Canis lupus familiaris: one gene and its partner. The protein of the gene in region 1 interacts with the protein of each later gene in a biochemical or structural test. Links are inferred from orthologs where the notes say so. Each region holds a gene or a part of one and is shown on either strand. Other genes may lie near its edges. The genes, in order: AHR and NR2F1.

Evidence for each region.
Region 2: the proteins of AHR (region 1) and NR2F1 form a complex in vitro, tested with the Homo sapiens proteins (2 studies listed by BioGRID). The link is inferred for Canis lupus familiaris from reciprocal best matches to the Homo sapiens genes AHR and NR2F1.

Annotation. Positions count from the first base shown.
Region 1 is NC_049235.1:31,823,299-31,827,118, forward strand, and holds part of AHR (aryl hydrocarbon receptor), read left to right. Parts: intron 1-333; coding exon 334-457; intron 458-1,721; coding exon 1,722-1,852; intron 1,853-3,268; coding exon 3,269-3,471; intron 3,472-3,820. UniProt on the Homo sapiens protein: Ligand-activated transcription factor that enables cells to adapt to changing conditions by sensing compounds from the environment, diet, microbiome and cellular metabolism, and which plays important roles in development, immunity and cancer.
Region 2 is NC_049224.1:15,764,204-15,768,023, reverse strand, and holds the end of NR2F1 (COUP transcription factor 1), read left to right. Parts: intron 1-2,484; coding exon 2,485-2,765; 3' UTR 2,766-3,541; downstream 3,542-3,820. UniProt on the Homo sapiens protein: Coup (chicken ovalbumin upstream promoter) transcription factor binds to the ovalbumin promoter and, in conjunction with another protein (S300-II) stimulates initiation of transcription. Binds to both direct repeats and palindromes of the 5'-AGGTCA-3' motif.

The DNA of each region.
Region 1 (3,820 bases):
TTTTGTGAAAGAAGTAGGATTTAAAAGATCAATAAATTTAAAATGAGCAGAACTGAATGTGTTGCAATTAAGGAATGAGAAGATGACTTAGTTGACTGAAAAGCATTCAAGTAGGGAAGTGATGGTAGTTAACTTTTGGCTGACCAATTACAGTGTTCTGCTCGCTCTAGCTTTTCCTATCTTGGATGACTAGAGAGTTTTGCGACCATCTGACATACATTTGTCACTGCTGACAAGCACTCAGTAATCTAGCTACGTTTTGATATTAATTTAGTAAACCACGTTTTTTAAATCAGTACTTTAAAAAAGTCTCCTTGTATCTTTTTTCTTTAGTCTGATGTCATACATCAGAGCGTATATGAACTTATTCATACTGAAGACCGAGGTGAATTTCAGCGTCAGCTACACTGGACATTAAACCCTTCACAGTGTACAGACTCTGGACAAGGAGTTGATGGTAAGAATGTTTGCCAAAAGACAGTATGGTGATTTCTTGATAACAGTTCTCTGAAAGGAGGCCAGAACCTCTGGGAGATGTATAACTCTATGGTGAAGGTTGGAAAGAAGTAGGAAGACATTAGTCTGTGGTTGTAGGCTCCAGCCAGATAACAAAGAGCTTAGTGACCTAAGGAATATTTTGACAAATTATTGATGAATTTCAAGCAAGAAAGTGTTACCATACTCAGTAATATATTTTAATTTTTTTTAAAAAAATTATTTATTATTTATTTGATTGATTGTGCACAGGTGGGGGAAGTGACTGAGGGAGAGAGAGAGAAGCTGATTCCTTGCTGAGGAATATTTAGGGCTTGGTCCCACACCCTGAGACCACGACCTGAACCACAATAAGAACTGGATGCTTAACTGAGCCACCCAGACGCCCCTCTCAGTAATATATTTTATAAAAATCACATATAATATTTTGAGAGACTGGAAGGAATGTGTAAGGTTGATACTCAAGTATGTATAAATTGTTCTGTCTATCGAATGGACCAAATAAAAAAGCAAACTAGAATATGCAAGTATAAAAAAACTTTTTGTAATCCCTGGGTAGCTCAGCAGTTTAGCACCTGCCTTCAGCCTGGAGCGCGATTTTGGAGTCACGGGATTGAGTCCCACATCGGGCTCCCTGTGTGGAGCCTGCTTCTCCCTCTGCCTGTGTCTCGGTGCCTCTCTCTCTCTCTCTCTCTCTGTCTCTCATGAATAAATACATAAAATCTTTAAAAAAAAAAAACTTTTCCCTCTGCAGTGCTTTTAGAAGTCCAGGAAAGTGGGCAGCCCGGGTGGCTCAGCGGTTTAGCGCTGCACACAGCCCGGGGCGTGATCCTGGAGACCCGGGATCGAGTCCCACGTCAGGCTCCCTGCCTGGAGCCTGCTTCTCCCTCTGCCTGTGTCTCTGCCTCTCTCTCTCTCTCTGTGTCTCTCATGGATAAATAAATAAAATCTTAAAAAAAAGTCTATGAAAAGTGTTAAGAAGATAAAAGGCATTGGAAAATATAGATATTTTTGACAATAGAAATAAAAACAAAACTGAGTAAAGTTCTATGTAGTAAAAGTGATATTCTGTGCATTTTAGTTTCTTTTCATTAGCTACTCTTCTGAAAATGATTCTTTTTTGTATCAGAACAGAATCCAATTTAGAAATTAATGCAAATTTCAGCTCTCCAAACACTTGATTGTACGGCAAAATGCGTAAATTTGTGTTGCTATTATTTCTACAGACGCTAATGGGCTGCCACAGCCAGTAGTCTGTTATAACCCAGACCAGCTTCCTCCAGAAAACTCTTCCTTAATGGAAAGGAGCTTCGTGTGCCGACTAAGGTGTCTGCTGGATAATTCGTCCGGTTTTCTGGTAAGGTGCAAAGTCTTATGATATTGGCAATTTCTATTAAGTTTCAGAAAGCAAAAAAAAAAAAAGAAAACTGAAACTACTTTCTTTGGTTAGATTTGAGTTTGATATTTAAAACTCCTTTAAGAAATAATTTCATGAAGGAAAGTAACTTAAAAATTACTTTTTTCAGATTTTAGTATCTTCCATAACTCAAAATCTTAATCTTTTAGGATGTAGTAACAAAGACTGAGTGAAATATTATAGAACCTTGATCCTGCCTATTTTCAGGATTTCATAATATGTAAGACAGAGAACTTTGTAGCCCTTTTTTAGGAGCAAAATGCTTACCCTCTTTGGATTTAATCCTTGCCAGTCAGAAATATTATCATAGCTTTTTCTACACAGCTACAGTAATTGCTATCTAAAAATGGTTGTATATTCGTGATTGCAGAATTGTCATGTGGTATGAGCTGCCATTGTGTAGCTTGAACACCTGAACAAGATAATCAGGGAGCAAGCAGGTTTAGCAGGATACTCAGAGTGGAAGGAGTCTTTGTCCTTAAGATAGTGCACTCCAATGGGTACAGAAGAGAATATAAAGCATGATACATATTACTTTTGTGAATTATCAGGACTTTGAAATAGATAATAAAATCTTAAATATTAGCAGTTATTTTTGTTGATGTGTTTATTTGTGAAGGTAATTTTGCTGACCCACAGTTAGAATTGTGCTTTGAGGTAGTTTTCTTAGTACTGATGATCAATTAATATGTATTTCTGAGATAGAATTTGTATACTTGGGTCTTTTCTTCCTTGTGTTGCTGTCATATACTGAGGTCAGAATCATTGCTCAGCCTGGTTAATACACTTCTAAGCAACTAAATTGATCATTTTCACATTTAAGTTTCTTTGTTTCCTGTCTTCTAAAAGTGCCCTATATTGTTAGTAGAGTTCTACATTCTTTACATGATTTGATTATTCATTCTAGCATCTTAATAAAATTGCATTTTATCTCTATATGAAAGATTACCATAGGTTATGAAATAGACAGTGAGCTATGGACTATAGCTTATCTGTATTTGAAAATTAGTATGTACTTGATGACTTTATCACTATTCATTCATTGAGGAAATATGTACTGAATGCCATGGTGAGGGGAAGGAAGGTATTAATAACAGGGCAATTGTGAGCTCAGAGAAAGATACAGATAATTTTGTTGTGACAGCTCCCTTGTCAGCCCTTTTAGGATAGTGTTTGTACTACCTGTGGGGATAGTTGTTAATGGGCTTCCTGTGAAGAAAAGAATGAAAATAGCATTAGTCAGCCTCACGAACTTTTATGGAATTATCAAGACTACTGGAAATGGCCATGATTGAGCCTTTTGAAATGAACAATTTTTAAGCATTAATTTTAATGAACTGGTTTCGGTTTTCTAAGGCAATGAATTTCCAAGGGAGGTTAAAGTATCTTCATGGACAGAACAAGAAAGGGAAAGATGGTTCAATACTGCCACCTCAGTTGGCTTTGTTTGCAATAGCTACTCCACTTCAACCACCATCCATCCTTGAGATCCGAACCAAAAATTTCATCTTTAGAACCAAACACAAACTAGACTTTACACCTACTGCTTGTGATGCCAAGTAAGTAAAACTTTTTCAGTTTTGTTTCATTAAATATATATTTTGTTGCAGTAAATCTCTTAGCATATGAAACATAGAGTATACCTTGTAATGTTTATTATTATATGAGCGATTATTTCATACTCTTTCACTATAGCCTCTTAAAGTAATTTCATCAGGTTCACAGATCGTCTTAAAATTTTTTACAATACTTATCACAATTTCTGTATCATAAAGATGACTTGCTTATTTTAGTAATAAGATTCAGTATTCTGATGACATTTATTGTTGGTTTATTTTACATTTTTAACACATACAAACTTTGATTTTTAGCTTTAGAAGTTTAGTAACTTCCAGAAAATTATGAAGT
Region 2 (3,820 bases), on another chromosome or scaffold:
GGGCCTGAGCAGTAATGGTTATTTATTTACATAATTTCTTTTCCATATACTATAAAAGAAATATTGAGGGTTCCCACATTGACACTAGCACATAAAAATTGAGACATGGACTCACCTCCTTTTCTTATCTCGGGTGTATCTCGTAGAATGTAAATATGTCCTGCATTAACACCCCCCCCCCTTCCCTGCTCACCTAGCTTTGCTGCCATCACCAGCCAACTGATCTGAGCGCTCATACTGTCCGTGCATAGTTGGGGGGAGTCCTGTCCTGGGAGTATCCGGAGTAGGGATGAATAACTAGGGTGGGAATCCAGGCCTGAAGTAGGACTCCTGCTGGAGGGAGGCCACAGAGCTGGCCGGCTGGCACCTGGCAGCCAGGCCCAGCTACAGGCATTCTGCCTTCAAAGGAGGAAAGAAATCCAAGCAGCCAGCACAAGGCCCAAGCAAGCCTTTCCTGGGCTTCTCTCTCTTGGAGCGGCCTAGCTGGGAGAAGGGTAGTGTCCTTGCGCTCTGAGGGCCCTAATGGTAAATATCAGATAAATATTTTACAGACCTGAGGGGATGCCATATGGGTCTTTAAAAAAAAAATCTGCTGGGGTACCAGTGGGTCCTTTTCATACTGCATTGTCTGAGGCTGAAAGGGATCCTGTGGCATAATGGGCAGATAATGCATGTAAAGCAAGATATATGTAAATATGAGTCTGCATGGTGGCCATTCAGCAGGGCCAGGTTAGCAAGCAAGGCCAAGGGCAGACCTGGGGGGCCCCCTCTCTCAGCAACGAAGCCCCAAAGTGCTCCTGCCCTGGCCCTGCTAACCATAAAATCTCAATGGCTTGCCAGGTCAGGCCAGTGTGGATGCACCCGAGTGGCTGGCAGGAGTAATTAGACATCTGAGAGGAACCCATTCTGGATCTAGGGTCAAAGGAGACCTGCCTCAGAAGTTCTTGAATTAGCACTAGTTTTATTTGTATTTTTGCTCAAGGCCATTGCCTTGTAGATGAAGGTGTTAGACTGCTTTGTAAATCCCAGTTCTTGAAATAGAAAGACATAAAGCTCAGAAACTCAGAAGCAGACACGGGCTTCACTTTGAATCGTTTGGTGTGACTTCTTAGGGTCACACTTGCCCATTCACGATTATATAACGTCCTTTTGGGGGCATTGCCATGCATGAATTTCTTCCCAGATCTATATATTAGCAAACTCTGCCTTTGATCTCGAGTCAACCTCCTGACTGGCAAAGGGCTCCTCTGTGATCTTCCTGTTTTTTAAAAAATATTTATTATTAATATAACAAATAACAAGGGTGTTTGAACTAAGAGAAGAAGCTTTCACTTCATTCCTTTCATTCCACCTTCTCCTCCATTTCTTTGCCTTTAGTTAGTTGATACAGTATAAACTGCTGTCTTGAAAGATTTTTAGGGGACCATGAGGAGCCCTGGTTGATAGGAGATAAACACACAGGTCTTAAGATGCTGTCATTGTGTGTAAGTGCCTTCTCCCCCTTGGTCCTGTGACAGGAAGCCTGTCTCCCCAAATCCCCCCCTCAACTCCCCACCTCCCAGTTTGGAAGCAGCAACAGCAGCTGCCTCCAGCCCAGCTTTGTGTCTGATCGTGGAAGATGTCTCCTTTCCGCAGCCTGGAGTAACTGAGCCATATTCCTTCTGATTATTATACAGCTTACAGAGATGTGACCAATTTTCAATTACTTGATCTAAAGCACAGATAGAAGCGTACACTCTCACCAAGGATTTGCTGCAGAGTTCTCGCTTGCTCAGATAGTGGATCTCAAATCCTGTACTGCTAGAGCATGGGCTCGATCTGATTTCCCGCACTGCCAGCCCTTGATTCCTTACCACCACCACCACCAGCACCACCACCGCCCCTGCCCCCAGGTGTTTGTTCACTATACAATCTAGGTTCTCCTTGAGGATTTTGGTTGGGGTCCTTTGGGTTTGAGAGGGAAGACTCCAGGAAGCCTGTAAGAACTGCCTCCAGGCTACGTATTTCTTCAGGGCTTCTGCACACCCCAAAATCAGGGGCAAAAGGGGCAAAAGTCCTCCCTTTAATGAGCACAGTGGAAAGATGCTCCCCTGCAGGCGGAGGACAGGTTGCTTCGCACAGCAAACATGGCTCCAGCATCGTACATTATTTAATCCAAAGGTGAAAGAGGAAAAACAAAGGGACTAGAGAGGTTGCTGCCTCTGCATGTGTGTTCTTCTGTCTCCAGCTCCCCTAGGCTTGGGCGAGGGTGGGGAGTTGTTGATTTATTTTTATTTGTATTGGGGGCCGAGGGGAGGGAATGGTGAGGAAGGCTTGGGGAGGTATGGAAAGGAGGATTTTTCCCCCCTCTTCCCTCCTATTTCTTTTCCCCCCTCTTACAACCTAAAAAAATTTTTTTCCCTCATGGTTTGTTTGTGCCTTTGCTCTTCACTAACCTGTGTGTGCCCTCCCCCTCTTCTCTCCTTCTTGTGGCTGCACGGCCAGACGCCTGTGGCCTGTCGGATGCCGCCCACATCGAGAGCCTGCAGGAGAAGTCGCAGTGCGCCCTGGAGGAGTATGTGAGGAGCCAGTACCCTAACCAGCCCAGCCGCTTCGGCAAACTCCTACTGCGACTGCCCTCCCTGCGTACCGTGTCCTCCTCGGTCATCGAACAGCTCTTCTTCGTCCGTTTGGTAGGTAAAACCCCCATCGAAACTCTCATCCGGGATATGTTACTGTCTGGGAGCAGCTTCAACTGGCCTTACATGTCCATCCAGTGCTCCTAGACCTTGGGCGCTTCCCACCTGCCCCCGCCTCCCTAGAGACTCAGAGGACCGGCGGGGGCCATGGACTCCAAAGCTGCGGGGACATCCGGGCGGCTGTTGCAGGGTGCAGCCAGGCAGGGGGGAGGTGGGCCGGGCCGACAGGAGCAGCCCACCCTGCAGAAATGCAACCCGAGCTGCAAACCAGGAGAAAGAGACTCTCTTTAGGATCAGATCTGTGAACATGTTGGAAAGGAAAGAAAAAGGACCTTGTGTCTGGTGAGAAAAGGAAAAAAAAAATTGGAAGAGAGGACCATGAGAATTTTAATAAAACAGAAGGAGACTAATGGACCTTCCAGGATTTATTGTGGACGGATGTGGATATATTCTGTACAGAAAACAACACACATGGAAGTGGACTGAATTCTATGTAGAAACACACACACACACACACAAACACACACACCCCAAACATTGTTATTCATTTTGTAAAATACTAGTCTTTATTTTCATTTTTTTGTAAAATTTAAACATCGTATGCACATAAAAAAAGGAAACAAGAATTAGGGGAAAATAACATTTTCCAAATAATTATAAAAAAATTGTCCTGTGTCTATGTATCTATATCTGTTTTGTATTTTTTTCTGGTTCCAAACCAGATTTCCTGTGATTCTATACTAATAATTTTTGATATAACCCTTTGCTTCTTATAATGAGTGCGATATATGTTGTCGAGGCTGTTCTTCAAGAATTAAAATTGAAGTGAAAATTTAAACAAAAAATAAAAGAATTTAGCAAAACCCACGTGTCTGGTTACTTGACAGATGTCCTGAGTGCAAGAGAACCCTCCCATTAATTGCCATTCCAATTATGATTAGAACGGGAGGTGAGGGTGGAAACTTCTAAGGTCCATTACGAAGTTGTCTAGATTTATTTCCTCAAACCAAGCCGCCGCCTTGGTTTTGTAAATGCAGAGGGTCAGGCTCTGTGTGGGCTGGGACGGGCAGGGAGAGGGCAAGGCACCTTGGTGGCTCCCAGCAGCTCTCGTGACCTTGTGGATGGTTGGTGCCCTGCACAGA